Linked DNA regions of Lytechinus pictus. The protein of the gene in region 2 purifies or fractionates together with the protein of the main gene of each other region. This does not show direct contact. Links are inferred from orthologs where the notes say so. Each region holds a gene or a part of one and is shown on either strand. Other genes may lie near its edges. The genes, in order: ran-specific GTPase-activating protein-like, regulator of chromosome condensation-like and exportin-1-like.

Evidence for each region.
Region 1: the proteins of regulator of chromosome condensation-like (region 2) and ran-specific GTPase-activating protein-like purify together in Homo sapiens (affinity purification with mass spectrometry; 3 studies listed by BioGRID and IntAct, counting the BioPlex papers as one, with this or other methods). This does not show direct contact. The link is inferred for Lytechinus pictus from reciprocal best matches to the Homo sapiens genes RCC1 and RANBP1.
Region 3: the proteins of regulator of chromosome condensation-like (region 2) and exportin-1-like purify together in Homo sapiens (affinity purification with mass spectrometry; 3 studies listed by BioGRID and IntAct, with this or other methods). This does not show direct contact. The link is inferred for Lytechinus pictus from reciprocal best matches to the Homo sapiens genes RCC1 and XPO1.

What each region holds. Positions count from the first base shown.
Region 1 is NC_087246.1:7,321,041-7,331,928, reverse strand, and holds the start of ran-specific GTPase-activating protein-like, read right to left. Parts: upstream 4,809-10,888; 5' UTR 4,594-4,808; coding exon 4,585-4,593; intron 1-4,584. UniProt on the Homo sapiens protein: Plays a role in RAN-dependent nucleocytoplasmic transport. Alleviates the TNPO1-dependent inhibition of RAN GTPase activity and mediates the dissociation of RAN from proteins involved in transport into the nucleus.
Region 2 is NC_087261.1:5,082,502-5,093,798, forward strand, and holds the start of regulator of chromosome condensation-like, read right to left. Parts: upstream 4,145-11,297; 5' UTR 4,028-4,144; intron 1-4,027. UniProt on the Homo sapiens protein: Guanine-nucleotide releasing factor that promotes the exchange of Ran-bound GDP by GTP, and thereby plays an important role in RAN-mediated functions in nuclear import and mitosis.
Region 3 is NC_087251.1:44,094,788-44,105,908, forward strand, and holds the start of exportin-1-like, read left to right. Parts: upstream 1-6,362; 5' UTR 6,363-6,897; intron 6,898-9,557; 5' UTR 9,558-9,596; coding exon 9,597-9,722; intron 9,723-10,331; coding exon 10,332-10,433; intron 10,434-11,031; coding exon 11,032-11,121. UniProt on the Homo sapiens protein: Mediates the nuclear export of cellular proteins (cargos) bearing a leucine-rich nuclear export signal (NES) and of RNAs.

The DNA.
Region 1 (10,888 bases), on a different chromosome or scaffold from region 2:
AATCTTCTCTTCAACCTCGTGGTGATAGCGGACCCCGCCATAAACTTTTAAAGACTGTACTATTGACGGAGCTTATTGCGTTGCTCTCTTACATCGTTTATGATGATATTAATTTTATTTTCAACCTCGTGGTGATAGCGGAAGCCGCCGTGAACTTTGAAAGGTCGTATTACCGACGGAGCTCACTGCGCTACTCTCTAACCCCGTTTATAATGATATAAATCTTCTCTTCAACCTCGTGGTGATAGCGGACCCCGCCATAAACTTTTAAAGACTGTACTATTGACGGAGCTTATTGCGTTACTCTCTTACATCGTTTATGATGATATACATTTTATTTTCAACCTCGTGGTGATAGCGGATGCCGCCGTGAACTTTGAAAGGTCGTACTATTGACGGAGCTCATTGCGTTACTCTCTTACATCGTTTATGATGATTTACATTTTATTTTCAACCTCGTGGTGATAGCGGACCCCGCCGTGAACTTTTAAAGATCGTGCTACTGACGGAGCTTATTGCGTTACTCTCTTACATCGTTTATGATGATTTACATTTTATTTTCAACCTCGTGGTGATAGCGGACCCCGCCGTGAACTTTTAAAGATCGTGCTACTGACGGAGCTTATTGCGTTACTCTCTTACATCGTTTATGATGATATACATTTTATTTTCAACCTCGTGGTGATAGCGGATGCCGCCGTGAACTTTGAAAGGTCGTACTATTGACGGAGCTCATTGCGTTACTCTCTTACATCGTTTATGATGATTTACATTTTATTTTCAACCTCGTGGTGATAGCGGACCCCGCCGTGAACTTTTAAAGATCGTGCTACTGACGGAGCTTATTGCGTTACTCTCTTACATCGTTTATGATGATATACATTTTATTTTCAACCTCGTGGTGATAGCGGATGCCGCCGTGAACTTTGAAAGGTCGTATTACCGACGGAGCTCACTGCGTTACTCTCTTACATCGTTTATGATGTATACATTTTATTTTCAACCTCGTGGTGATAGCGGACCCCGCCGTGAACTTTTAAAGATCGTGCTACTGACGGAGCTTATTGCGTTACTCTCTTACATCGTTTATGATGATATACATTTTATTTTCAACCTCGTGGTGATAGCGGATGCCGCCGTGAACTTTGAAAGGTCGTACTATTGACGGAGCTCATTGCGTTACTCTCTTACATCGTTTATGATGATATACATTTTATTTTCAACCTCGTGGTGATAGCGGATGCCGCCGTGAACTTTGAAAGGTCGTACTATTGACGGAGCTCATTGCGTTACTCTCTTACATCGTTTATGATGATTTACATTTTATTTTCAACCTCGTGGTGATAGCGGATGCCGCCGTGAACTTTGAAAGGTCGTATTACCGACGGAGCTCACTGCGTTACTCTCTTACATCGTTTATGATGATATACATTTTATTTTCAACCTCGTGGTGATAGCGGATGCCGCCGTGAACTTTGAAAGGTCGTACTATTGACGGAGCTCATTGCGTTACTCTCTTACATCGTTTATGATGATTTACATTTTATTTTCAACCTCGTGGTGATTGCGGACCCCGCCGTGAACTTTTAAAGATCGTGCTACTGACGGAGCTTATTGCGTTACTCTCTTACATCGTTTATGATGATATACATTTTATTTTCAACCTCGTGGTGATAGCGGATGCCGCCGTGAACTTTGAAAGGTCGTATTACCGACGGAGCTCACTGCGTTACTCTCTTACATCGTTTATGATGATATACATTTTATTTTCAACCTCGTGGTGATAGCGGATGCCGCCGTGAACTTTGAAAGGTCGTATTACCGACGGAGCTCACTGCGCTACTCTCTTACCCCCTTTATAATGATATAAATCTTCTCTTCAACCTCGTGGTGATAGCGGACCCCGCCGTGAACTTCAAATTGATTTGAAAACGCTAGCTACCCAAAACATTTTAATAACATATTTCAAATCATCGTGCGTGCTTGCGTCTTCTACTTCATTTTAATTGCACTTGCGACTTTAAGATGATGCGTCGTAAGAGATCATTCCAATAATTCTAAATCGCTAGCACCTAAAAATACTTCTAAAAGATGTCCCGCCGATCGTTCATTAACCTGTGATCTATGAGAAATATTTTCATTTTATTTTCCTTTGCGCCTTTGCTCGGAAGATGCGTCTTTCGTTTATCTTTCTAATAAAAATCACTCGGTTTATTTTAAAGCTATAACACCTCAAAACCCCTGGCTTTAAAACATGTTCCAAACGATCGCGCATGTTGGCGACTTCCATTCCAATGCATTCGTCTTTGTGACTTTGTCAGGAAGATGCGCGCGACCGCGAACAACATTTTGATGTATTCCTTTGTTTTTAAACATACCGATTCGATTTTCGATTCGATTTCGATTTTAGAAGCTTAACTGCCGATCCGATTTTCGATCTGATTTTTGATCCGATTTACAACATTATTTTTAACCTCGTGGTGATAGCGGATGCCGCCGTGAATTTTGAAAGGTCGTATTACCGACGGAGCTCACTGCGCTACTCTCTTACCCCCTTTATGATGATAGACATCTTCTCTTCAACCTCGTGGTGATAGCGGACCCCGCCGTGAACTTCAAATTGATTTGAAAACGCTAGCTACCCAAAACATTTTAATAACATATTTCAAATCATCTTGCGTGCTTGCGTCTTCTACTTCATTTTAATTGCACTTGCGACTTTAAGATGATGCGTCGTAAGAGATCATTCCAATAATTCTAAATCGCTAGCACCTAAAAATACTTCTAAAAGATGTCCCGCCGATCGTTCATTAACCTGTGATCTATGATGAATATTTTCATTTTATTTTCCTTTGCGCCTTTGCTCGGAAGATGCGTCTTTCGTTTATCTTTCTAATAAAAATCACTCGGTTTATTTTAAAGCAATAACACCTCAAAACCCCTGGCTTTAAAACATGTTCCAAACGATCGCGCATGTTGGCGACTTCCATTCCAATGCATTCGTCTTTGTGACTTTGTCAGGAAGATGCGCGCGACCGCGAACAACATTTTGATGTATTCCTTTGTTTTTAAACATCGCCGATTCGATTTTCGATTCGATTTCGATTTTAGAAGCTTAACTGCCGATCCGATTTTCGATCTGATTTTTGATCCGATTTACAACATTACTGTTAACCTCAGATTCTAAACATAACTAGCAGTTTGGCGCATTTTTATAGTTGCCTTTTTCTTTGGCAGTAGAGGCGCACGGCCAATATGGGAGACTCTCTCCAATAGGGGAGACAATCTCCCACATTGGAGACTTGCTTTGCAAAAGGACAAAAGAAACAACACCAACAAAAGCATGATTTTTTCCACCCAAAATTTTGTCTCACTGAGGTCAGAAGCCCATTTGTTTTGTGTGTGATTGACAACAAAAATCCTTATCAAAACAAAAGTAGACGGTGAATTTTTAAAGTAGACTGTGAAAAGGGGTAATTTTTCATGAGGAATCTGCTTATCATATTTTTATTTGCCGCCAAGTTAATCCTTTTGCAGCAAATGTAAACAAAGGAAATTGGACTCCAAAACTGGAGACTGTCTCTGAAATTGGATACCCAAATTCTTTACAAAAGTCTCTGATATTGGAGATAATCTCCCATTTTGGAGACAGTCTCCAATATTGGCCGTGCGCCTCTACTAGTACTGTTTGGTGCATGGGAGCCTATGTACAAACGCCAGGCGTTCGGGGAGCTCGGGAGTGACCATACATGAGTGATAGAGTATTATTACTTTTACTCCCCAAGACGCCTCCAGGCTACGTCTGTGTACGAGGAGAAATTTTAAAAAATTTAAAATGTTAAAAAATCTCCTCGAAACAGACGGCTGACATGTCCCCATAACTGATATTTTGAGAAAAATTGAAGATGTAAGTTAGGCCCAGATTTTGGTGGGACAAGGGCACCAAAGTCCAAAGGGTTCATTACATGCAGCCGCGCACAAAAAAATCAAGCCATAGAACTAGAAGTCGTGTGTTGTGGACACCAGGTCCAGGCAGAAGTGAGATCCCAGCACGCGCGACCCACTAGTTAGAATTTAGAAATCCACTGCCAAACGCGGTTCATGGTGCGAGGTTAGTATACTACTAACCTTGCAATACGCGTGAGTGGGACAAGGGTGGAAAAATATAAATAAATTAAATATTTTGATTTAGGCCTAAATAATTAGGCCCTAGCCCTAGGCCTAATTTGTACGAAATAGTGTAGTTGATCTGTCCTGTCGATTGACAGGAATGACAGATCACCTAAATATTCTATTTCAATTTCTTCACTCATGTCTGTGGACAAGCCGATATAATAAATCTCTTTTCCATAATAAGTTAGTTAGATGCTCATCTAATGTTAGGAGCTAACGTTAGTCATGTTAGGCTCACTCAGTTATGACGGCTACAGACAGTACAGCTGCACGAAGGACTCATTCAGTTCACGCAACACAACATGTGAAAATCTATGCGGTTTACGGATAAGAAATGTCGAATCGTGACAAAGTTCATTTGAAAATCACATCTTACACATTAAGACACATTCTAACAAATCAAAAACTCACATCTGCCATTTCGTTAGGTGGATGTCGGCGGATGCACAAAGAATCGGACAGTTATACGAATGAATGAAATTTTGCAATTTAGGTATTTACGTACGATGAACGTATTTTGTGCAATAGAAATAAATAATAGACAGTAATTCCGGAACCATACCCTATATCCTAACGAGTTCAGTATGAGAATCACGAGTTACTGTCTATTATGAATTATACAGCGCATTCATCCCACCCCAGCTAAAGCGCGCGCTGGTCAAAGGGATGGTCCGGGCTGAAGACATTTATATTAAAATAAATAAAGTAAAATTCACAGAGCAAAATACTGAAATTTTCGTCAAAACGGATAACAAATAACATAGTTATTGCATTTTAAAGTTTATCAATATTTTGTGAAAACAGGGATATGCACATCGTCATGAAAATTCATTAGGTGGGCTGATGATGTCACATTTCCACTTTCCCTAATTTTATTATGTTATTACATGAAATCATAAATGTTTCATTTTTTCATACGAGTACATGATGCGTCTCCATTATGATGAAATAAGTTGCGGCAATAAATAACTAATAATGCACTTAATCAGTTGTCGATCCAATTGTTTTAGTTCTTGGTAGAATCTTTGAATAAACCTTGCTTCATACAATCAAATAAGAACAAGCTAGTGGACAGTGGCGTAACAGCCCCCCCCCCCCCCCCCCCCGCCCTGCCACCTGGCGGATTTCACCGGGAAAATAAAAAACGGGGAAAAAGAGAAAAGGGAGGGAGAAAAAAAAAGAGAAAGGGGAAGGAAAGGGGAATTAAAAAGGAAAGAAGGAAAAGGAAAGGGAAAAGTGAAAAGAAAACGAAGAATTTTTTAATGGAAAAGGATGGAAAGCGGGAAAAGGAACGAAAGAAGAGCATTTGAGAAAGAACAAATCATTCCGAAATAGGCCTATGTAATGCAATAGCATGATGGGAAATAAACTAAAATATGACAAAATGGCAAACAATAGCAGGAAATGAAGGTTGAATGGATCTTAGTCAAAAGCTAAATTGAAAAACAAAGAAAAGGGACAAGAAAATAAAGAGCGGGAAGAAAGATGGAGAGCATTCAACATTGTGCTATAAGCTTGATAAATTTTATGCAAATAAGCTACCGGGCCGGCTTTTAGGGGCTCTTCATCTATAACCTTTAAATGGCTCTAGGCGCCCCTGTAATAGGGACCCTTCCTACATTTAGCTTTACGTTCAATCACTGGCGTACAGGCGGGGGGGGGGGGGTCTTGGTTCCACACCCAAGAGGAAATAAAAGAAATTATAGGAGATAAAATGAAATGAATGGAAACAATAAAATGTGTTATTTGCTGAATATAATGGAAAAATCTATCACATAATTAGAATTTGATAGGCAATTTTTTTTCCAGCTCGCTTTACTTGCTGGCGATTTTTTAAAAACAAATTTCCCACATTGCTAGCTGTTTTGCCCCCTCAAAATATTTGGTTCATTACGCAACTGGGTTGAATAAATGTGTTGTGTAAAAGCTATATTCTGCATTTATCCGAGATTTGATTAAAAATAGCGGCGATCTGCGAGTGTTTAATGGCATTGATATCAAAAAGTTCCGGGGGCCCCATCCCAGACCCCAACCGCATAGGACTTCTGTATATGAGTATGGAAGGGTTGGGCCATATGGCCCCAAAAAATCTACAACTAAGAACAAAAAAAAAGAGGAAAGAAAAGCAAAGGAAGAGTGTAGGATATGATTTATTTGCTGAATATAATGTCAACAAAAATATCTCAAAGTTACTAGATTCTAATAAAAAGGTGATTTTTTTTCTCGGTCGCTTTGCTCGCTCGGGACTTGTATCAAGCAGCTTTTTAGCACATGCACCATACTGCGCCCTTCGTTTTTTTTTTACTCTTCACGCTACTGCCGCAAAGAATCCTGCTCACAGTGGCGAACAGACCACAAAAAAGGAATGGAAAGAGAGAAGAGTGATATCATTTTCTGGATATCATGTCAAAATCTATCACAAAATTGGATTTTTGTATTAAAAATGTCAGATATTTTGCTCGCTCGCAACTTTTTTTTAAAAGATAAATTCTGCCCGATATGCAATATCTGGCCCTCTCAAAATCGTCGCCTCATTAACACCTGTTCATACCATATGACCGGGAAATTTTTTGCTCTTGCCCCCCCTGACCACCGACCCCTGCACGAAAAAAAACGGAGAGCCACACCGATCGAGCTGAAATTACCAAATATCCTGTTTCGTGTCGCCTCAAATATTTATGAAAAAAACCCTGACAAATAGGCCTACTGATGAACAAAAAGAAATTGCTGCCGGGGGTGATATAAATAGACATCGGGACTTGCGTCTAGGGCAGTGGCTCCAGAGACTGATTTGCAGACTGCGGGGCGCCAGTCCTTTCATTTTTATCACACTTTATTTTCAGACCCACCTCTATAATCATGGACCTAATAAAGACAAGTAAAAGTGGCATAACATTGAAAATTTAATCAAGATCGGATGGAAAATAAGATAGATGTGACATTATAAAACTTTACTTTCAGAAAAGTAAATGGGTTATAGGTCTACGCAAATGCGAGAGCAATGATGTAACTATAGCTTACAATTTTCATACTATTTTTGTTGAGAATGATAAAGAAGTTCTTGATTTTAGCTTAATATTTACAATGACGACTCTACTCTTCAAAGTGAATTTCTACCTCATTTTTAAATCAGAGGAGAGAAAAACTTCTTATTTTTACCATCTCAACCCATTTTCTTATTCATTTAACTCAGTATCTCCTTATCTCTCTCACCTGTCATTCTCCTCTATTTTCCTTCCTCCTCAGTGTTACAACCCCCCCCCCCCTTGCCTCAAATCTCCTTCCTCCTCTCACCATCACCACTCTTCCTTCTTCTATTTTGTTATTTTACACCCCCCTTTTCCCCTCTCTCTCTCAGTCTCTCTTCCTGGCCACCCTCTTCCTTATGATCTTCCTCGACTTCATCTTTGAATATCACTCCCCTGTTTAAAAGTGTTTAAAATCTTACACAACAAAGTTCAATTTTTAATATGTAATTCTCAATAAATAAAGCATGGTTGTTTATACTGTTAAACACCTATTGTAGGCCTACGGTTCATATAGTAAACAACGTTGCATAACATTTTTTACACCATTTTGATAAACTCATCATAGTTGTAAGTTTTCACAGCTCCCTTCCATCTCATTAAGTTTACCAGTTTACAAGTCAATTCTAGCAAATATAAATTTTCTAGTAACATTATAAAGTTCATCACATTTTGACAACTGTGATTCTCCAGGGACTAAAATTAAGTTTACAGGGGAGAGTGATCACTCGCTACTGCTTGCCTTAAACCATTTCAGGTAGAGCGATTTATTGCTCACCTCAGCGAATTTTTTTTTTTTTTGTGATATGAAATGATAAATGCAGAAAAATTTGAAAACAGGCAACATCATACACAATTAAAAATTGTTTCTACATTTTATTTCCATATGACTCTGTTCTGACATCACTTAGCCTGAAAATAGAATAAGAGTGTCAGTCAATGATTGAACTGTTAAGAGCCAAGCTTGAAAACCTCATTCTAAGTCAAATTAGAAGACATACAAAAAGGCAATAACACACATTGCAAAAATGACAACAAAAAGTTCATTGAGATCAATGTTGCCTATACATCTGATTGTTTGTTTCCTAAGTTGTGGTTTGCAACTAAGTGTATGTTCCTCCATCCACTTTTTAATTTCAGACAAAAAAAATCCCCTTGTTAGTCAAAGAAGAGCTTTTTGCAGTGCTCCTCTACCGCTCCCCTTAAAACTTTTAGAAGAGCTTTTTATTGCTCCCCTCATAATTATAAAACTGAGACCCTGATTCTCTTAATTATTTTTCATCAATTTCACTTACAAAAGGTGTATTCAACAGAAATTTCTAAGAAATATTTCAATAAAAAAATAAATCAAATACATAGGCCTCATCAACAACATGAAGAATTCAGGAGAGCATTTCATCAACATTTATCAGACAAATATCCTTGATTTTGATTGGCTGAGAAACACACTTTGTCAGATAAAACATCTGACAAGTCCTTTCATGTAACACTCCACTAGTCTCAAACTGTAAGGTCTATAAGGGATAAAGACATGTTTCCTTTAATCACTCTCTCAAAGACACATGAAACATAGAGGAGGAAGATATTAACTTAAGAAGCGAACCCTTAAATACCAATGGATGAATAAATAATATTTTGAAAAAATCTGCCCCTTTCTTTATATTACTTGAAATTGACTGAAACCGTGTGATAGAACAATCTTAGTTTTTTTGTTTTTGTTTTTTACTCATTGTTGGATGTACCGATAGTAAATGTACAGGAGTTATTGTTTTATTGTGCTTTTTCAAAGAAAAAAAACTAGCTTTGTGACTATCCCTGGAGGTAAATCTCATTGATACTGGTCCAGTATCCATGTAAATCAATTTCTGAAAAGTTTTCCTGAATTCCTGAGAGTGAAACCTATGCAACATTCCTGAGTTTCATATCTTAACTGGCATATTTGGCAATTAGTATATTCAATATCAACTTTTCTTGAATTCTGTTTTTTTTTTCCCAAATATTCTATCATGTATAATCTTAGAATGTTATATCAAACATTTAAGAAATCCCTTTTCAAAAATACTTGTTTATGTGCAAACTGGAAAGTATCTATGCAAACAGACAACCAGGGAAGCATGTCAATGATATCTGAAAGTGATACCACTTAGATGACATTTTGTCACATACCAAACACTATCAAAAATTGAAATCAATTACACATCTCACAAAAATATTTGAAACTGTTTGTGAATTAAAAGTTATTGTTTATTACAGTATAAATATAACTTCATAGCTAATAAATATAGCTAATGCTAAACCAAGATGACATAGAACTTTGAAAGACAGCTTATCTTGCACACAAAATAATATTAGATTAAAACACACCTTTAAACTTGACATATGAAGACATTTCAAGACACCTACCATAATTGAAGCAAGAAATGTGACTGGATACCTTTAGAGGTACCTGTGCCTAATATAAAACAAAACATAGATAGATATACAATAATCAAGGAAATAAAACCATTGACCTATTCAATGGCATTTTTTTATATTGTAATAAAAAACTACAATATGAATACATTGGGTCTGTGTGCATTTATAGGTAAAAATTTTCCTGACAAAAACTATGTTTGAAATTATCATAACTCGGATTGATTTCTAAATGCACCAGATTAGATTTTAACATAATTTCAAATCTACGCTTCTGATAATCCAATGAATTTCAAATTTGAAATACATCAACTAACTTGCCAGTTCTGGCAGTGGCTAACAAATGAATGCCATTTACAATCTATAATATTCAACCTTGCAGTTCACATTTGAAAAGCAATTATATACATAATTACTAGTATGGCACTTCACATCTCATACATTTTACATGTTATACTCAATCTTAAACAAGTTTCATGGACCATGTATAAAATGAAATCATAATCAGATTTAAAATTCCATAACAACAAAACACATAAATATCATAATCATTCAGGTCCATAATGATATTGAGAATAAATGAAATATGATGAGTGGAGAAACCAGCACCGGGTAGTCACTATATGGTGAATCACTATAATATTCTCAATTGAAATACAATATCGTCTTGAAAGGTTGTGATAACATCCTTTACAAAACAAAAATACATTAACATTTTTCCTCCTAACCATTTTTGTAAATGTTTATCGCAGGGGGTGGGGCATATATACATATATATATGGGCCACACCCTGGATAAAATTTTGCATATATGTATATATATTATAAGAAGAAAAATATTAAAAACTATTAACTAGTCATTGATTCATCAGAAAAAAGAAATAGTCATGTTGTCTTATAAGTTTAGCTATAAACATATTTGTTTAATTTGAGCAGTCAAATTTGTGCATGAATGTTTATGTTATAAGTCCCTCCGTCTCCTCTATAAGGTTAAAATATTCACTAGCACAACATAAAGCACAAGCTCTATTAAGATATCAGTTTAAAGTTGACATATTTTGCCAAACTTTTGAAGTTATTATTTAAGGCTGAGCTTTGGTTTTACTTTTTACACCAAAGGAAGAAATAAACGGTATTGCACTCGGGTAGTAAGACATGGCTAAACATACGATCTCTCTCCCCTCTCTTTCTTTCTCTCTCTCTCTCTCAACCTGATATTTTCATTACTAAGTTTGACATGTGTGAAAGACCATACAGATTTTTACATACATTACATTG
Region 2 (11,297 bases):
GGTGATGTACACTCAACTGGAAATTATCGACCAGTCTCCCTTACATCAGTGATCTGCAAACAGCTTGAGTATATCATCTGTAAGCACCTCTTCAAACATCTACAAGAAAGCAGTATCTTGTCGTCTCTCAACAACGGGTTCAGGACCGGTCATTCAACTGAAACTCAACTACTGACCACAGTACATGATCTCCTTCTTGCCCATGACAAGAAAGTACAGTCAGACGTCATCATACTAGACTTTGCTAAGACGTTTGATACAGTGCCTCACTCGCTACTCCTACACAAACTAGCGAACTACAAAATAGATGGCTCGATACACAAGTGGCTTACATCCTTCCTAACACACAGGGAAATGACGGTTGTAGTTGATGGAGCATTCAAACCCAGAGGAAGTAACATCAGGTGTGCTGCAGGGGACAGTACTCTTACCCTTGTTATTTCTATGCCACATCAACGACCTCCCTGATGTTGTCCAGTCACAGGTTCGCTTATTCGCAGATGACTGTGTGCTGTGTAGACAGATTAAGTCTCAACAAGACCATCATAAGCTGCAGCAGGACCTTACTGCATTAGAAAATTGGGCATCCACTTGGGGAATGAGGTTCAATGCTGGCAAGTGCCAAGTTATGAGCATAAATAAATGCCAAAACCTCATACTTTTACACCATAAATGACTGTATACTTAAACATGTATCTCAACATTCATATCTTGGAGTAACACTAGCTGACAATCTGAAGTGGTCACCCCAGATCGACAAAGCTGTGAGGAAGGCAAACTCTGTCCTTGCTTTACTCAGAAGGAACCTAAATTTCTGCCCAGAGAACTGCAAGCGCACAGCATACATTGCACTAGTCAGATCTATCCTGGAATATGGTGCATGTGTGAGGGATCCCTATCTTCAGAAGGATATCCAATGTCTGGAGAAAACACAGCGTAGAGCAGTACAGTTCATCTGTGGGGACTACAGCTCTCGAAGAACCAGGTTCGATTACCAAGATGAGAGAGAATATTAACCTGCCTATTCTTGCCTCAAGACGCCAAGTCCTGAAACTGACATTCTACTAGCGATGCCAAACGGATCGGCACTTCTGGGGTTCCTATTCTGACTGGCCTCGACTTTACATATCGTTTTTGAAATGAAATGTTGAAATTTCGAAAACAGCAATAGTCAAAATGTAATTTCCACTTACATTTTCCATATTCCAGCCCATTTCCATCTGAATCAAGCGATCGTCATGAGATAATTAGGGTTCTGAACTTCGCATTCGCCGGGGAGTTTCTGTGATCGACGCCATATTTGTTAGCAGCATTGTTTACTTCCGGGTTCTGAGGGTTGTGGGTAAACTCGTCTTTTGCAAGATTTTCACTTCGATACTACATGCAAGATGGCTTCTCGCGAAGGTAAGAATATTTCCGAGAATTTTTCGTAAATATTTGATTTTTTCTACTGTTTTTTCTGCTTTTTGAGAAGAGTGATTATGAGCGTAAAAATTTCGGATTTTCCCCCGCACTTTGGAAGGCTGTAGCTCGATAACCATATGGGTGGAAGGCAATAGGAAAGTTATTTCTGATGTAGTCCCACATATAGATAAATTTGCTGACAATGTTTCTGCTGATGATTGAAATAGTCTTTAATCATGTAAATTCAGGTTGAAAGTATACAAATCTTGCTTTTTAGTTTTAAAAGTGTATCCAATGATTCTCAAGATCAATTTTAATCATTTTTTTAATGGCAAAAGAAATTTAGGTCCTGTCATGTTGATGATTTCAGCTGCTTGATGGAAACTTTATATCTATTCAAAAGTAGAATTAGGAAAAGAGAAAGTAAAAAAAATTATAATTTGAGGTGATTGGGAAGGGGGGGGGCTGAGGAATTGTGTTGTTCTGTGACTGTGTGTTTGTTTATTGGGGTAAGGGGCTTAATCTTTTTAAAAGAGTGTTGGGGTGCTGTGTTTGTCTTGAACATAAGACTTAGAAATAAAATTGAGACAGGACATGGTGGTTAGGGGGGGTTGCTGATGAAGCCTGTAAAAGGGTTTTCTTCTTCCTTTTTTTTAAAAAAGTAACTCTACCCTTGTAGTACCTAAATATTTTTATTACTATTAATTGATTGGTGTTCTGATCTAATTCCTTACCTTCATTTGATATTTTCCCCTCTGATTTATTATTAATTGTTTTGTGTGTGTATACCACTCTGCCATTTGCACACATATATCGTGAAATACACAACAGCTAATTGTAATTAATATGCAAATTAATGCATGGAATAAAATGCAAATGTGCACAATAACAGAACTTGCTTGATGCACATCTTTAATTTGTTTCAGTGGAGACTGGAATTTTACTTCCAATCAGAACAAAACTTAGTGCAAGAATATTCTTCAGTCACAGGTAGACCTACTATGAATGTGAATACAAGTTCACCTCAGCCTATGCGCTAAATGCTGCTCATTTGCATATATAATTAGATGCTAATTAGGGTGTAAGATGGCAAGATGAAATATGATTCAGCATGTTTAGTCTAGAACAATTAAATGTATATACATTGGACCAAGATTGTTGGCAATCTTGGTCTAATTTATTATTATATATAATGTAATAATAATAATATAGGGTATTTATATTGCGCACCTTGTTAGGTGCTCAAGGCGCTCCTATATTACCCGGCTAAGCTAGGCGTTCATAGCGCACACAGCTTTTTAAGGAATTACTTCCTACCGGTACCTATTTACCTCACCTGGGTTGAGTGCAGCACATTGTGGATCAGTTTCTTGCCGAAGGAAATTACGCCATGGCTGGGATTCGAACCCACGACCCTCTGTTTCAAAGTCCGAAGACTAATCCACTGGGCCACAACGCTCCACATGCATCACGCCACGTCACCAGATCATTGGCAGAACATTTTTAATATTTGCATAATGGATTATGCGTTAATTTAAATAAGCTTTAGTTATTAGGAAAAACTGTACTCTTATTACTTAGATAGAAAATTATATCCCCTTCAAAATGAGTACAAATAAGCTGTGGTTTATTCCAAAATAAAAGAATTCATTTGGCTTAGCTAATTCTACTTCAAAGTGGTCGAGGGGTTGGTTCCTGCCCTTCCTGTTGATAAATTTCTAATGAAAGCAAGACATTTATAACGTAATATCAAAGCTAAGAAATTTGTAAACTTTGATGCTACTAACTATGTTGTATGTGGTAGAGAAACAAGTAACAAATAACTCCAAGTCATTTTCTCAATAAGACAGTTAATGTAACGCAGAGCAGTTAAGAAATTCTTTTTTTGTGAATACAACGTTCGTTGGCCTGGAATCAACTCCCTAACGAAGTTGTCAGCAGTACCGGTACATCACCAGAGGTGTTACAGTTTATTAAAGCCAAGAATAAATTAAGATCGAAGAAAGCCACTACGTTTCGACTAAACTCATTTGCGCCCTCTCCTTACCCGGTGCATTAAACTATTTGCGCCCTCTCCTTACCCGGTGCATTAAACCTAACGGTCCTGCACTGTACATCCAGATCCAGATATCTAAAAATAATGAAGATAAAATTGTTCTCAAAATACCAATTCGGAGAGATTTTAAGGGTATTTTATCTCACTGATTTTGAAGGAGATAAAATATTTTATTAGATCTGATTCTGAGATAAAATGGATCTCAGTCAGAATACCACCCCAAAAGCATGAAATGACCTCACATATTAACGGGAGACAGTTAACGCGCCGCCTGGCTTGAAATAGTGACACTCATTCTCAGCTGGTACGGTACAGGAAATGCGATAGCGCGGCGCAGCGCTTGAACTTTGAAGTTAAACGCGACGGGTCAAGCCGCGAGGCCGAGGAGAAACACTGCGCCCACATATTCATAATCGCGTTGTATGCGGTATGTTAATTGTGCGAAGTTCGTTCGAAATATTGTTTAGCTTATCTCACAACCAAAACATACAAAGCACTTCAAACACAAATAATAATATCTATTTCATCCTTCAAAACAAGTGATATTGTCAATAGTTGGAAACTGACCTTTATAAACCAAGCTTTATTTTGTTTTCTCCGACAAAAAGAGTTGCACGTAACACACGTTTGCCGCCTCCGTTTAAAACTCGATGGTATCTCTAGCTCTGCGAATAAAGCCAGAAATGAAAAACTGGGATTCCGCATGCGTATGGAATTTTCCGAAATTTATTATATTAAGTGGTTTTAATTTTGTCAATAATTTTCTTTGAGTAGGCCTATAGGTTGAGTTTATTCGAACAATTAAAAAACACAAACAGCAAATTTAATATCATTTCTAAAACAAAATACCAAAAACTTTGAGAATCATAATACTGTACATATCACTGATGCTTTTGAACTTCTGTCTGTTTTGGAAGCAATGAATGATCTATGGTGAAAGCCCCCCCCCCCCCCCCCATAAGCATGGTAACGTATTATGCATAACTCTGATATAAATTCATCATCTCTTATCAAGTGAATAATATGAATAAACTCCACTTCACATAACTTTAAAAAGAAACTATAATGGTAATCCACTATCCAGGTTTCAGGATGGAGCACGGGGGGGGGGGGGGTCGATGGGCAAATATACAATTTAAAGAATGTCAAAACTGGCTGGTATTTTAAGCACAAGCGCGTCGAAATATTGACAACTTTGTATTTTTATGTCAAGTTGGATAGTTTTATATTAATTTCCAATGCCTTTAAAAAATATAAAGTATTTGCATTCCCTTTTTCTTTTTTAAGATAAAAAAAGTGGGAGGGAAGCAAATCGGTAATTATGTTTGCCCTCCAATATTTTCATTGTGGGCGATTGCCCCCCGCCCTTATGATCGATGCCTCAGATGATTTTATTTAAAAAATGAGGGCGTGTCATTTAAGACAATAATTTTATGATCTTGAAATTTAGGTGGTATACTTATATATTTCTAGTCTCTAGAGTGATGCTGAAAACACGGATACCGTCGTAATATGGATTACTAAATGTTTTATGAGTATCATTCTGTTTAATTTGTTGTATTACACATCAACTGACAATTTTTTATCATTGTTTACCATAATATTAGTTTGCAATCGTTCCATATATTTTGTTTTCAGTACACATAATTTTGCGAATGGTTTTATATGTTAAGTTTCAGTTCTTTAAGTTTTTTTTAAATATTTTATATGTTTAGTTTTTAATCACCATAATTTTTTTTTAGCATTAATATGACTTGTATTCAATTTGAATATTCGCTTGTCCATGATAGAAACATCAATTTACTTTGATATTTTACTTTTTCATGCTCACATTAATACTTTTACCTATTTATGCACCGCTTTGTTCGAATTTGATTCGATTTGATTTGATATATTTTGTTTAAAGTTTTAAACACGGTAAAACAGCACTCGATCAGCCAATGGCTTGTTTTCAGAGAGGCCGTGCATAAAACGAAAACCTAAAAAAAAAAAACTAAAGTGGGGTGAATGAAAGATAACAGAAACAAAAACAAAATAGTAACAAAATAAAAAAAAATAGGTAAAAAGGAATAATCAAGATTCCAGAGGGCGTTGCATAAAGCTGTTCGTAAGTTAAGAGCGACTTTAAGAACGACTAGTTAACCTTTCTTGTAAATGGTATACTGTACACCAAAATGTTCATTGGCGATGGTTTAGGAGTAAGAAAGTTTCACCAGTTGTTCTTAAACTTGCTCTTAACTTATGAACAGCTTTATGCAACGGCCTCCTGGACTCTTTCAATTTCAGATTCAAGTTAATTATTCGTCTGGGTCCAGTTTCAAAAGCCACAATCAAAAGACAACTTTTTTTTTTCTTATTTCTTTATTTTTATATATAGACAATGATTTCCTCATGCACTCTGTTATTTAACCTTTCACTTTCTGTAATGGCAGCATAATTTGGTCTTTATTATTGTGATAAATCATACAAACAATATTTCATTTTGTATATGCATTGTTATCTGTGTAAACGGTATATCATTTCTTGTTGTTGTTGGACGTTGTTCTTGTTCTTTTTTCTTCGATATTTTTTCTCCTTCTCCTCCTCCTCCTTTTTCTTCTTCTTTTCTTCTTCTTCTTCTCTTCTTCTTCTTAATTTTTCGTTTCTTCTTCGTCTTGTCTTTGTAAATAGTATATCATTTCTTGTTGTTGTTCTTCTTCTTTTTCTTCGATCTTTTTCTTCTTCTCCTCCTTTTTCTTCTCCTTCTTCCCCTACTTCTCCTCCTTCGTCTTCTTTTTCTCCTTTTTATTCCTATTCTTCTTATTCGGAGGAGGAGGAGATATATCAAGGAAGGGATAAATAAGACAATTACACAGGAGGGATACTAAAAAGAGGAAGAAAAGTGAAGAATTTTAAAAGGGGAAGAGTTGGCAAATAGCAAACTTGTTTTTAACACTATATCAAAATGCAAAATTCCGCTTCACGCTTGCATATCCTAGAACGTGAATGTTCAAACAGTTGTTCGCGCTTCTCACTTCTTTTAATGAAGCGTAATGAGCCAATATATATACAGTGCGTCCCAGAAAAAACGAAACCGAGATTTAGCGATGATTTATCATAACTTAATCATAAATAAAATAGACAAATGACCTACCAATGTAAAGCTTAGAATCTCCTCTTTCATCTGGTATTACTTAGATTATTCCTCATTGACGCATTATTGAGCAAAAAGATTTCGAAGAAAGGATGCCAAAAACTCATTTGGCGGGGGGTATCTGAATTTCAAAAAGAAAATCACATGACTAAAAAGTTCAATATCTTCTTTTTTCTTTGATACCTAAATCACAGAAAATTGTCAATGCTTGTATTTCCATAATTTCATTAAAAGGAGAATGAAACTCTTGGAGCAAGTTAGCTTTTGTGAAAGCAGAAAAATCAAAAAATAAGATCAACAAAAATTTGAGTAAAATAGGACTAGCAATAGAATAGTTATGAGCATTTGAATGTCGAGATCACTTATGCTATGGAGATCCTCCCATTGGCAATGCGACCAAGATCTATGATGTCACAGGTGAAGAACTCTCCCCTTTTGGACACTGAAAATATACCCCAAAACATCTCTTTTTGCTCATTCTAATCATATGACAAACGATTCATCAATGATTTAATGTTGTGAAACCTCTGTACTTCTCCTCTCATAAAGAGAACACCTCACATTGTGATAGACTCTATAAAAGTGAGAATATAAATGAAATAAAGGGAGTTGTACGTGTGTGACATCACAGATCTTGGTCGCATTGCCAATGGGAGGATCTACATGGCATTAGTGATCCGATCATTCAAATGATCATAACTTTCTTATTATTCATTCAATCTTCCTCAAACTTTCAACAATATGTTTCTTTGATTTTTCTCTTTGATATAGATTCAGCTGGTTTCAAGGGTTTCATTCTTCTTTAAATAAACGTGTTTTCACTGGTTTCCCACAGAAGCTATCGCACGGTAACAAAAGACTTAAAGGGGAATCCAGCCTTTGCCATAAAATGTTGTGTTGGGAAGGAGAAAAATAAATTAAACAGAATGGTGAAATTTTGAAAGAAATCGGACAAACAATAAGAAAGTTATAGCTGCTTTAAAATTGGGATCACTAATAGTATGTAGATTTCAAATTGGCAACTGGGTAAGTAAATTATGACAAGGGGCAAGGACAACTTTCCCATAGGCCATGTACTTTATTATCAGGGTTTTGTGGTTTTCTCCTAAGTACCCATTCCCCTGGGGCAGTAATCTAAATATAACCCAGGTGGTATATTGTTAAATGTCCTCATAAAAGAAAAATGTAATTTGAAATAAAACTTTTCGGAAAAATGACATTTTAGCCATAATATGTAATGGAGTACATGGAAGAGTAGTCCTTGCCTTACATCACTATGACATCCCATATGTGGCCAATTTGAAGTCTCCATGAGTATAGTGATTACCAATATTTACAACTTTTAAAAATTCATAACTTTCTTGTTGTTTGTTCAATATTGTTCAAACTTTCACATATCAACTTGTCTGATTTATCTTTTTCTTATAAAAACAAGTTTTTATTTGGGTTGGATTCCCCTTTAATGCATGGCTGATCGTCAACAAAACGGAGTGTCGAGTGAGTTTGAACGCTAGCCTGTAAAACCTCTTCATTTTATGAAATTATTGAAATTCAAGCCTTATTTCAAATAACCAGAACTTTGTTATTTCTTGACCATTTTCTGTAATTGAGGTATCAAATTAAAGAGCAGATATTGAACTTTTTTAAAATGTGGTTTTCTTTTTAAAACCCAGATACGGCCCGCCAAGTGACTTTTTGGTATCCCCTTTTCAAATTGTTTTTGCTCACTCATGCGTGAATGAGAAATAATTTAAGTTATTTCAAATGAAAGAGGAGATTCTAAGCTTTAAAATGGTAGGTCATTTGTCTATTGTATTTGCGATTAAGTTATGATAAATCATCGATAAATCTCGGTTTCGTTTTTTGTGGGACGCACTGTATATAGAAGAGTTTGAGGAGAGAAGGGCGGGGTAGAGATGGGGGACAAAAGCGGAAGCAGATAGAGAGATGGGGAGAGTGCAGAAGAGAAATGGGAAGGAGCAGGGAAAAAGAGAGAAAGATCGTCCTTAAAAGCCCCTCCATGCATTATGTCAAATGAAACAAATGCAATGATAAATGATTCAAAAATACACAATTTCGTCCGTATACACTATACACACGAATGCATTGTGTTTCTTTTTTTCTTCAAAAGGCCTTTATCAATTTTTCACGAAATCGCTTATGTATTTTCCAGGTAAAGGTCAATACAATAAGCATCGCGTTAATTATTGACAACAATATCGAAATCGTTTTTTTTTTCCATCGGCTGTCGTTCACCCTCTCAGACCATGATTAACCAGGGCGATCCAATCGGAAACTGTCACCAAGCAACGGTAAATAAATCAACTCGGTGATGGCAGTAAGAGCATCGCCTGACGCAATAAAGCATTGAAGTGGCAAGAGTGTTTTATTGAAAGTCCAGTCCAAATTCATAAATAATGTAACATGTCTCTTTTCACAGGTGAATAAAGAATCACCCTTGCCCCTTTCCTTTAAAAAAAATATAAAAATAACAATCGACAAAATGTTGAAACATGAAGAAGGAGGAGAAGGGGAAGAGGATGAGATGGGGTGGGAGAAAAAGACGGAGGAAGGGGGAATTAAGCCCCCCCCCCCAAAAAAAAAAAAAGAGAGAGAGAGAATGACAGAGAAATAGAAGAAGAAAGGGAAGGAGGAGAATAAGAAGAAAAAGAACAAGGAGGAGAAGAAGGAGAAGGAGAAGAAGGAGAAGAAGAAGAAGAAGAAGAAGACGAAGGAGGAGAAGAAGAACAGCAACAACGACCCCCCATTATTGTTAATCATAGCTTTTCTCCTGGCCCGAGAATTCCTCTCACCTCTCCCACTCTCTCTATTATTCGCGACTCCCTTTTATGTCCTCATTCATTCTTCTTTATACCAATCCCTTCGACGAAATTCATTTATTTTATAATCACATTCCCCCTCCGGCCGCCGATAAGGCGAGTGGAAAACAACCATTTTATCTAATTTTATTCAAACGTAGCTGGTACAAAAAAAATGGTTAGATTGCTGTTTTCGACTCTCCGTATAATACAGGTTTATTTCCAATTCGTCCAATTGCCAACTCGTCTACTATCATTTGGTCTACCATCAGTCGTCCACTCACCACATGGTCTCCTTTCATTTCGTCTAATAACCAGTTGGTCCAATAGCCATTTAGTCCATATACCATTTGGTCTTATTGGACTAAGTGTTAATTGGGCAAAATGAATGAAAATGAAATATTAGACCAACTGGTTATGAGACGAAATGGTCATAGACAAAATAGTGATTAGACGAAGTGTGATTGGACCAAATGGTTGTTAGACGAAATGTTGATGGATGGAATGGCATTAGACAAAATGAAAGAAGATCATGTGGTGAGACTAGAAGACGAGTTGCTTTTGGCAATTTACCGCCGAACGGCTGTTGTAGGGGAAATGTGACTGCAGCTGCTGGAGTCACATTTCCCCTACAACCGCTGTAAGGCGGTAAATTACCCCCTCTCCCTCGATCCTTCCCTCCCTCCCCGGTGCCCCCATCTCTCTCCCCCCCTTTTCTGTCTTTCTGGTCCATCGTCAGCTCCCCAACCACTTTCTCCAACACATAACACACATCTAATTCCCAACTCACAGTATAAACGATTTTTAAACACCCCTCCCCCTTTCACCATCTTTCTTCTTCACTGTAAAATACATTTTACAACTCTTGAACTTTAGGCCACATTATCTTACATGGTTGATCGAAACTAAAGTAATATTACTTAGGAATTTGAATGGTAAAAAAATCATTGCCATGTATGAATATGATATTTTTGTTCATTTATTTCATTCACACAGTGAATATCAAATCTTCAGCACAACGAATTATTATGAACGACAAAATATAAATAGCATGTTTCAAACATAAGTAAAATGACATAATTATAAAGGCATTTAAACAATGAATATGTAAACAATTATTTTTGTAGAATGTGCAATGCAGCAATAGGCAATTCCCATCATCATCCTAGTATATTGATAATTATAAGAATTTGATGAAAATTAACCACTTTACTCCCTTGTTACTATGGTAACTCATACTGAAAATTAGAAGTATACTCTGAATTATTATAAATCAATCGCCTTTGGTGGTAAAGGAAGTACATTGTGAAATAGTACGAAGGGAATTCTTCTTAGCAATACTTATTATATGCCTTTATAACGTGTGCACTCACCAGGAGTAATAATCAAAATATTAAACATTAAAGGAGAATGAAACTCTTGGAGCAAGTTAGCTTTTGTGAAAGCAGAAAAATCAAAGAATAAGATCAACAAAACTTTGAGTAAAATAGGACTAGCAATAAAAGAGTTATGAGCATTTGAATGTCGAGATCACTAATGCTATGGAGATCCCCCCATTGGCAATGCGACCAAGATCTGTGATGTCACACACGTACAACTCTCCCAATTGGACACTGAAAATATACCCCAAAACATCTCTTTTTGCTCATTCTAATCATAATGACAAACGATTCATCAATGATATAATGTTGTGAAACCTCTGTACTTGTCATCTCATAAAGAGAACACCTCACCTTGTGATAGACTCTATAAAAGTGAGAATATAAGTGAAATAAGTACTAAAGTAATAAGGGAGTTGTACGTGTGTGATATCACAGATCTTGGTCGCATTGCCGATGGGAGGATCAACATGGCACCAGTGATCTCAATATTCAAATGCTCATAA
Region 3 (11,121 bases), on a different chromosome or scaffold from region 2:
AAATGATATAAAATGAATAATGTGTTTCCTAGCCAATGTCACTTTATCCAATAAATGATTTGTCTCTTATTTTTAAAAATTATTCCTCTTATTGTTTCCATATCCCATAAAGGTTGTATAAAAGGAGTATGAAGTTCCAAGATGGAACTGTCCCTTCTTGGTCTGGGGTTATTTTATTGGACATTCAAAGGGTAAATGAAAAGAGAAAATGTTTGGTATTTCAAGCATTCACCCTATTTGTTTTCATATTCTATTAAAGCCAAGGGGGCCTAGCCCCCCCCCCCCCCCCACACACACACACCAAGAGAGAGAGAAGGGAGAGGGGAGAAAAGGAAAGGAGAGGGGAAAGAGAAAGAGAATGAAATTTGGGAAAGCGAGGGAACAAAGATAGGATGCGGGAAAAAAAAGAAAAAGGGGAGACTAAAGAGAGAAAGAGAAGCAAAAGAATAGAAAGGGAGAGGGGAAATAAATGAAGGAGAAGCAAAGAAGCAGGGGAAACGGGTAGTTCATAAAAGGGGACTGGGCAGGTTGGTAAGAAGTCGGGGCTCTTTTTATCCCCCTTTTCTCACAAATGAATAGAAGGTAAAACAATGAAGAAAACAAAAGAAAGTCCAGGTACGAAATGATCTAACCTTCGGCAGGCGCGGATCGAGGGGGCCTTGCGCTCTCCCCCCCCCCCCCCCTGCAAAAGAAGAGAGAGATAAAAGGGGATGAAAAGAAGTGGAAGAGAAAGACATAAGAAAAATTGATAAAGAATACAAATAATGAAGAGGGAAGAAGATGCCTTGCCCTGCTCCCGTCCACCATGCCAGAAATAATAGCAAGCTCAGCTCTCCCAGTAACATAGATACAAGGGAGCATAATGAAAGTAGAAGGAAAGGGAGAAAAATGAGAAAGAACGGGAATAAAGAGAGAAAGAACGGGAATAAAGAGAGAAAGGAAATGATCAGCCGATAGAGGAAGCTAGCATTAAAGGGAAAATATCAGTCTTTTTTCACAAACTGTGAATCTATAAAGCCCTTACCACCTCTTTATTACAAATAAATTTAGATTAGGAAAGGTAAATTGAAAGATAAAGTCGTTCTCATGGGCCGAAGCAGCCAAGGCCTCTGCATTGGCCGCACAAACAAAGAGAGATATGGGGGGGGGGGGGGGTGAATGAAGGAAAGGAGAAAGGGTAAAGTATAAGTATAATCACAGGAAGAGGATTTACTGGAAGAAAAGTTAAGAAAATGAGAGGAAAAATATAATTGTCAAATAGCAAACCTTTCATTCTTTTTAGATAAACGACGATAACTGTTGCACTCTATAGTACAGGCCGTCAATTTTATCAAGACGACCCCTTCCGACCGGCTTTGGTTCTTCGATAAGCCAATTAATCGAGGAAATGTAAAATATTTTTTCCCACTTTCCCTCTCCCACCGCCCCTAGTGTACTCTGGATCCGCCCCTGGGAGAATTTGCTGCACGGCAAGAAAATTAATTAAAATACAAGTCCACCCCAACAAAAAGTGGATTTAAATAAAAAAAGAAAAATCCAACAAGCATAACACTGAAAATTTCATTATAATCGGATGAAAAATAAAATTTTCACAAAACATGCAGTGATATGCACAACTTGGCGACATGTAAATGAGACAGTAAGTTGATGATGTCCCTCACTCACTATTACTTTTTATTGTTTGAATTATAATATTTCATTTTTTACAGATTTGACAATTAGGACCAACTTGACTGAACCATATAGTATTAAACATTAATTCCACATTTTCAAGTGGAATTAATCTTGTCGATCAAGACGTTCATTGAGGAGAAAATTAGAATATTTCATATTTCATATAATAAAATACAAAAGAAATAGTGAGTAGATGACATCATCAGTCTCCTCATTTGAATACCGACCAGGATGTGCATATAACTGTTTTGCGAAAAATATAAAGGGAAACTTTAAAATGTCATAACTTTCTTATTTTACATCCGATTTTGATGAAATGTTGAGTATTTTGCTTGTTGGATTTTTCTCTTTATATTCAAATCCACTTTTTGTTGGGGTGGACTAGTCCTTTAAGCATTATTCCCCGGGCATTATTCTCAGTGTCATATCGGTTGACGACTTGACGTACTGATGCTAATTTCAAATATTTCAAGACCACTAAAATTAGTAACTCGGTCTTTAAAATCTTGTTGCTATAGAAGTGCCTTAAAACCTTCAATCCAGGCCTTCATATCATGTTTGGACATGGGCGGAAATCCCAGGGGGACAGGGGAGACGTGTCCCCCCTACTCAAAATAGTAGGGGGGACACAATATCAAATGTCCCCCTACTATTTTTGGTTTTTTATGATGGTAAGAAATACATCATTCTAAAGCGAAATAAAACATGTATTTTGGGACGAGATGACCTTACTTTTGGGATGATAACCTTTTTTTGCTTGTCAAATTTTCCCGCCCCTTGTCCCCGTAGGCGGACCAGGGGGCCGAGGGGTCCACCCCCCCCCCCCCCCCTCTTGGCGGAGCAAAAAAAAGAAAAAAAGGGAAAGAAAGAAGGAATAGAGGGAAAAGAGAGGAGAAAAAGAAAAGAAGGACGACGAGTGCATAAAATAAAATGAGAGGAAGACTTGGAAAATAAAAATAATCTTTCGTGCCACTATATAAAATTTTCGCTCGCGCTTCGCGCTCGCATTGCCTGTTAGATGACTTACATATCTTGTTCAATATGGAGCTCGAATGTCAAGTTTAGAAGTCAATATACAAAACATATTTCACCTCGGAAATCGAACTTCATTATTTTGTGTGATTTACAAATTGATTTTTAAAAAGTGCTCTGTAAAAATGTCAGTTTTATGGTCTGAATATGAACATTTGCTGCTTGCGCTGCGTGCTCGCAAATTATGATTTTTCAGGTACCTATTATTTTTCATGAAGTTTTCAAAATATCCCTTTTCAGGTCTGATTGTTGAGACGTAAAAATATCAGCTAGCGCGCTGCACGCTCGCATTTTGATTGGCGAGTTATATATGTTTCAATATTGATTGTACAACAAACTACATAAAATCCCCTTTTCATGACAGTTTATCAAAAATTTTAGCTCGCGATTTGCGCTCGCATTAATGGTTAAAAATATATAAACTGATGCATCCTATTCATAATTACAAAAGTAAAATGTCCAGTTTTTATGCCATAATATCAGATTTCGCGCCCTTATTAGCAGGAGGGGGGGGGGTGGCCTGTACAAACATCCCCCCACTTTTTACGAAAGAAATGAAAAAAAAAATCACAAGAGATAATTGTTTTATTGGTGAAAATTCTTCCAAAAATACCGCTTATCAAATAAAATAATATTATTGAATCATAAAATGCAAATAAAGAGCCAGTTCACCATTTCCAAACAAAATACTTATGTCCTTATTATAACATTGAAGAGAAACCCCCGTTTCTTCCAATTCATCAATGTTGGGGTCTTTGGGAAGGGATTAAGATAGAATGTCAAAATTTTTTAAAATGTAATCTCTAATAAAACCATTAAACCATCATGGGGTAAAAAAGATAATAATATCGGAGGGGTATTTGCCATATGGACATACAGTGGCGTAACTACGGGGGACATGGGGGGCACACCCCCCCCCCCCCACATCGGCTGACCAAAAAAAAACGGGGAAAGGGGGGAAAGGAGAAAAGAGGGAGAAAGGAAGAGAAAAGTAGTGGGAAAGAAGAAAATATTATTCATTATAATGTTATATTATAATTATGTTAAGTTACATTACATAAGAAACATTTTTATCATAACTTTATGAAACATAATTTGCCCAGGGCCTACGTCTTCATTGTTCCTGGTGCTCGCATTGTCTGTTTAACGAGATATATAATCCTGTTGTACTAAAACATCCCGTTTTCAAGTCAATATAAACCAAATATATTTCCTAGCACTTGAGTTATCATTGTTTTATGTAGTGACATATGCTTCATTTTCATGACTCAAAAGTGATTGCCCCATGTTAAGGTCTTCGTATATATGAAACATTTCCTGTCCGTGATTACGTTCGCATTAGTGGATTGGTGAGATATGTCTGCTCTTCATGAATTCCTAAAATCGGTCCTTAAAATGTAACTTCTTCTGATCTGAATATAAAAAAATTTCAGCTCGCGCTTCGCGCTCTCATCATTTGATCAGTGAGATACATATCCGTTTAATGACATTGTCCTTAAAATGTCTCTATTAGGTCACTCACTCAGTCATTCAAAAATTTTGCTGGTGCCCCCCCCCCCCCCCCCAATACCGTGACCCACGGTACTCCACTGTCAGTGTGGACATATCAATGACAATTCCTTGCATATCTAAAAACATGATTGCAAAAAAAAAAAAGCCAAAATATTTCAGTCATCCCCCCCACCCATCAACACGGATTTACGTCAGTGCTTATTAGGCATTAATAAATATGATATTAATTGAATAATCAAATTGTCCCTTTTGTTTCATCTCGCTTAGCAAGAGGAATAGGAAGATAGTCATCATTTTCATATGATGACATGTCGTAAGGATGTCCCGGTCCTATGTCAAAGCTCAGAGTAATAATAATGAAAATATCAGCTCTTTTTTAAGTGCGATCCATATCCACAAAGTGCTTCTACAAAGTGCTTGAAATATAAAGCTGAAATTGACTCTTTTTTCAGATCGGAATATCAAAGTTTCATGATTTTCATGATTAAAGATGTATATAGAATGCCTATAGATTCTAGGTCTAAATATGAAACACGCGCGCACATGTTAATTCAGATACTCAACTTGTTCTCTATTTAAATCATTATCCAGTTTCAGATCGCAATATCAAAATTGTTCTGCTCGCCGTGCTCGCATTATTGTATAGGAAGACCCCATATTACTCATCCTTTTCATGATTTACAAAACATGAACAGAGTGGCCCATTTTTAGGTCTAAATCTCGATTTTTTTTCTGCTCGCACTTCCCGCTCTCATCAATTATTAAATTATATAGCTATCCTGTTCACGATTACAAAAATGATTAAAATTTTCCATTCTTTCTCTAGAAAGTTCAAAAATTTTCAGCTCGCGCTTCGCATTCGCAGTTTTCTATTGTTGAAATATGTAACGCCTTCATGGCTAAGTGCAAGCAGTCCTTAACAGTTACCTTTTCAACAGGTACCAGTTCAAAACGTATATAAAAATTTTCTTTCATCAATTGTTTACTTAATTACCTATTCTGCTTGAGTTACAAAAAGTGCTTAGAATTTCCATTCTTTAGGTGAAAAAGTCAACAAAAAATTGCTCACGCTTCGCGCTCGCATTATTTGATAGTTAAATGCTACTTTAACAGGTATTTTTTCCATCAGTTCATTTGCATGTACTCGCGCTTTGCGTTCGTAGTAATTATTAAGTTGCGTACACATCATTTTTCAGGATAACAAACATTGCCCAGAATGTTCAAATTTTAGGAAAAAATACAAAAAAAAAAATCAAAAAATTGCTTGCGCTTCGCGCTCGCATAATATAAATAAGGATTATGATATTACATATAAATTTATAAGAATAAAGCTAAGAAGTGACTAATGAGGACTACCCCTTCAAAAAAAAAAAATCGGGGAAATTATGGCTGAAACAAATTTCCGCCGCCCCCCCCCCCTATTGGCGAAGGTTGGATCCGCCCCTGTGTCCCCCCTACCTTTTGGGAGAGATTTCCGCCCCTGTGTTTGGACATGATAGAGCTAAGACTTTGGCGTCTCGGCAGATCGACTAGGCTAGTGCAATGAGCAAGCTGATCGGTGTCATATCCCCACTTAATCTTTAGTATTTGATTAAATAATTTCTCCTCCGCAGGGTACGGTAAGATTGACTAAACTGAATTAATATTAAAGAAAATTATTGCTGCAACTGATCATGATACAAGGGAGACAATTCGAGTACACTATATGAAAATGTGAATAGCATTATACGAAAAAGGAAAGCATTGGCACTATCTTGCATGTTCGATTATTTGCATATGGGGGCCCCATGGGGCATGGTCTTATTTCACAATAGGCCTAATATACAGTATTGCTAAACTTTGAAATTCAACTTTGTTGTTTTGTAATAGAGAAGCGTTGTGGTTAGTGAATTTTTACTCTGCTTGTTTGGGTATCATTATTTCAGCCCGAAATACTCCATCATTGAGCGACCAATATAATACAACCATATACAAATTTAACATAATGATAACAATAAACAGGTAACGGGCATGGTACCCAGCTGTCAACCAATCATATTTTAGAACTGTATACTGTTTTGCATGTGAATTCTGAAGCTGCGCCCTCTACCTCGCTCTATCTGTATATATCGCAACTCGAAAAGCGCCCGCGAATATATATATTCCTCTCTGCTCTTCCAAATATGTAATGCGAAATAACAAACTTGACCCTTCGCTCCACATTACATCGTGTTGATTAAGAAGCTCATTACTGCACATAAACATTAAACAATTTGTATCTTCAGTTCATTATATGATTGTGAATTATAAGTGTGATAATGTATCACTGAATATTTTGATGGATATGATTTTCGCAGTGTGCAGAGATACTACTCGCGTATACGACAGCTAGCTGCTGCTGCGCCGAACTGGTTTTGACCGGTTTTTATTCGCCAAAAATTTCCATCACTCGAGACGCCGAATTCGTCGGATGGAGATCGAAGCTGGATTTACTCTGAAATATCTTAATTTTAAATGGCTGAAACATCCTCGAATTGCCAGATAATATAGACAATTAATGAAATGAAAGCTTGATTCACGAATGCTTTAATGTAAGCGTCGTGTGGTATCCAGGTTAGCAATTTACAGAGCAGATAGTTCACGTGGGTTCTGTACTCGTCTCGGCGGACGACGGCCAGCAGCGGAGAGCTATCATAGCAAGTAAGTAAAGCAGAGAGGCCGCATTCTCATTGGTCCATGCATGCTAGGGTCTTGCCGAGTGAGTGTACAGCCCAGCGAGCCAGCTCCAGCTGGCATCGTTCGAATCAGCGATCAGCTGAGCTCTCACTCAGCTAACCCAAGCCCAAGGAGCTTCGGCGCCGCCCCTTCGACGGTGGTGCTCATTTTAATTAAGCCTGGGGCCATGCTGCTTGTTGCTAGCTGATGAAGTACTATGCTAGGCCTAGGGCCTGGACCCGATGAAAACTAGTAAAGGCCGGGGTGCCGGGTGGTTATGATTGTAAAAAAATTGTAAAAATTGTAGAGACAGCTGGCAGCCGTCTGTTTCGAGGAGTTCTTTATTGATTTTTAAATTTCAAATTTTTTAAATTTCTCCTCGTACACAGACGGCTCGCTATCGTGCAGCCACCATTACTCATTAGGGTAGGGGACTTAAAATGCAAATTCCCCCGTCGGGGCTCTTCGATTTTTGTCTTTATTTCATAAAAATATTTAAAGAGAACTGTACCAAAAAAAAGAAAGATTATTATCATGATTCCTATTCCGTTTTGGCCTGAAAAGTGAAATGCACCAAAACGGGGAAAAATAAACTTAAAAGGGGAAAAAACAGTGACTTACTTCGGCTGTCGCGCAACTTCACTTCCCTGTTTTATCCGAACTTGATACGGCCATTGAGTCCCCTGTACAGATCGAGCTAGAACTTCGGTCTCTGTATTTTGGTGAGTGGAGCCAACGGAGTTCAGCGGAACAATAACAGAGACCGAAGCTTTTGGTCTAGATCAGTAGATGTAGATCTATTCTAGGTCCAGATCAAGACCTGAAATTCTGAATTTGCACAGTTTACCATTTTAACATAATTTTGTTAATCAGAAAAATATGATTCATTTTGATTTTGAAATCTGAGTTTTTTAAATGTATGGTAAGGGGACCTAACTTAATTGATGCTACGCGGGTCCTAAAGCTACGCACCACTCATCGCGCATGCAGTTTTTAATGGCAAATGTGCACTCTGTGTGTGGCCAGTGACGAACGATTCGATTCCTATTCAATTGTTACTACAGAAGCTGCAGTAAATCTCTAATTAAAATGCAGCGAAAACCCACAAGTCACAACTGTTTGGAATTTTGGAGTTATATTCGCTTTAATTTCATTTTATCCTATAATAATGTGAACATATTTTAGAAATTGAGGCACAGGAAAAATGCTATTTTTTGCATGATAAATCGAGTGCGTAGCTTTAGGACCCCTTCGACATCGGAATCAAGAGGTGTTAAAAAAACACTGGAATTTACGTATTACGTGAGTTTTGCAATATTTTCTTTTTGGCTAATGATTTATATTTGCCACAAATTAGTGAAAGATAATTTGTTCAATAATTAAAATTGGCATAGTTTTTCAGGGGCCACGGAACGGTTTTCGAAGTGGGGGGGCTGACCATGCAAAAAAATCACAATCATATGGTAATTTTTACGTTTTTGTACACGGTTTTGGAAAAAAGTGGGGGGGGGGGGGCTGAAGCCCCCCGCTTCCGCGGCCCCTGTTTTTATCGTTTGAAAACAAAGTGCTTAGCTTTAGGTCCCCCCATCATAAAACTAAAAAGGGGGGGATGTTTTCTGAGTTTTTAGGCTAGGCCTTCAAGGTCAGGGGTTATGTTGTTTTTTTGGGGGGAAGGGGAAGGCATGTCTGCATTTGAGCTTAATTAAAATTAAAGCCAAGGTACTAATTTGCAGTTTCGCACCAGCCGATTTCGAGAGAATTTCCCCACCAATGGTTGTTTGCAAAAGTTAATAGCAAGTCTCAATCATATTTCAAGGCCAAGATAGACTACCCACCACTTTTCCGAACATCGCAATCAGGAACGGCTGTATTTCGGCTTCGATCTCGACATCATTCAAGTTCCCAGTCAGACATTGCTTCGCTTGGAGTTGGATTTGCTGTTATTTTGATAAGGATTGAAATAGACAACCAAAAGTTTTTTAGCTGATATCAGATTTTTTTTTTTCAGCTTATTTTTGGCTTTCTTCTGTTCAAAAATATGAGAGCTCTTCCTATTTCAGACTTTTTCATCACTCTTCAGCTTTTTTCAGATCTTTTTATTTGTGACTACTCACACCCCTGAATATGTAGACTGATACTCTAATGTTAGACCTATTCATTAAAAAAAATCTGACTAAAGAAATGGGAAAATATTGTATTTCAGGCATTTCAGTCGAAAGCAGCCATTCTCAACAAAATCCTTGAATCATGTGAAAAGTGAATGTGTGCTTATAAAATTTTGGCTCTATTTTTTTGTTCAGTTTGAAAATGTTTGGCTGAGGATTCTTTAATCTGAAAATGATTGGCTGAGGTTTTTCAAGAAAATCATATTTGAAATTTTTCTGACATTTGGGGCACACTACTCAAGAATATATTATATATCAACTGGAAATTATGATGGAATTTTAAAGAACTTCATGTTTCATCTCAAGTCAAATTTTTTAGGTGCATAGACATTATGCACAGACAAGGGGCCACTGCATAGGCAAGGATTAGTGAAATTCACTTGGAGGGGGGGGGGGTACCAAAACAAAAATTCTCCTTTAGAATGATAATTGCTGCTTAAAAACCATGATTCAAACCTTTTCACCCTTATTTTTTTTCAGGCATTCGCTCTAATCCAGACATCTTGTGTAGGTGAATCAATGCCTTCACAGAGCATGGCAACGTTGGCTGAGCAGGCTGCAAAGCTGCTCGACTTTAGTCAGAAGCTTGACATCAACCTCCTGGACACAGTCGTTGGTGCCATGTATAGTGGAGAAGGCCCAGAAGTAAGTAGACAGTGTTATTATATGCCAGGGTTATACAGTTAACTTTGCCTGTCTCTGGCGTTTCAAGGGAAATGCATTCTTTCAGTTGTATTTTATATTATCTTTTGCCATATGAAATAATAATAATATTACATCATGATAATAATATTGCTTAATAATAATTAATAATAACAACAACAATATATTATTATTATTTATGATGATATGATGATGATGATGGTGATGATGATGATGATTACTCCAGTTTGTTCATGAAACAATAGATGGTCTGGTGCCATATAACATTTGGCAGCGATCCACATTAACTCATTTCCAGGGGCCTGTTGCATAAAAGAAAAGCTCTGGCAATTATTCAGAGTCAAGGGAGAAGGTAGTGTTAGTCATTTCATTGGTAGTGTCCATTAAATGATAGTACTATCAAGGTAGGATGGAAACGAGGAAGATATTTCATGGACATGAAAATGTGAAATTTTAAGCAACCGGGGTAAGGGTTTATTTCCCCCTTATATTGGGTTTTTGCCAAGCTATCCCATGGAATTCCATGTTCATAATCTGACAACTATAGAAATAAGAAACTGAATATTTATTTTGCCATCCTTGCCTCCACAGCAACAAATGGCCCAGCAAATATTGACAAGTTTGAAGGAGCATCCCGATGCATGGACAAGAGTCGACACCATACTTGAATTTTCCAGCAATCAACAAACCAAGGTTTGAATCGAACCCAATTTGCTACATCATCACTAACAGGGTGTTGCAAGAAACTTGTGATTGATTGTAGAACAATATTAGGTACCAATTCAATTGAAAGTCGTGCACTTCGTTGCAAATTGCAGTGGATTGGTGGTCTCTTTCTCGCGTCAAGAAATTATCTTGCTTTAGTCAAAATTGATCTATCACTTGTTCATTTGCATCTTAAATTTGCAATGGATTACAATTATTTTCTTGCAACACCCCCTAAGTTCAACTCGAAGTATTGCTTCCTATGGAAGCCATCTTAAGTGTGAATAACCAACTCAACAATATTCTGAATGATAAATAAAATCATTATTTATTTGCCTGTTTTTATTTGCTTGGTGACTGGATGCAGTATATTTTAGATGTGCAGGTAACAGCATTTGTAAATATACACCTATGATCAGTTTTTCCAATTTTAAAGGTTGATTAAATGTACTTAAATTTTTTTTTGTATTCTCCTAGTAAGATAAAGGTCTGCGTGGTGTGATTTACAGTCCACAATTCTGTCTACTTGGTTTGCCTGTTTATATATTAAAAAAAATGATTTGAATATTGGTATTTTCGTTCACAGTACTATGGATTACAGATCCTTGAGAATGTCATCAAGACTCGTTGGAAAGTTTTACCTCGCACTCAGTGCGAGGGAATTAAGAAGTACACA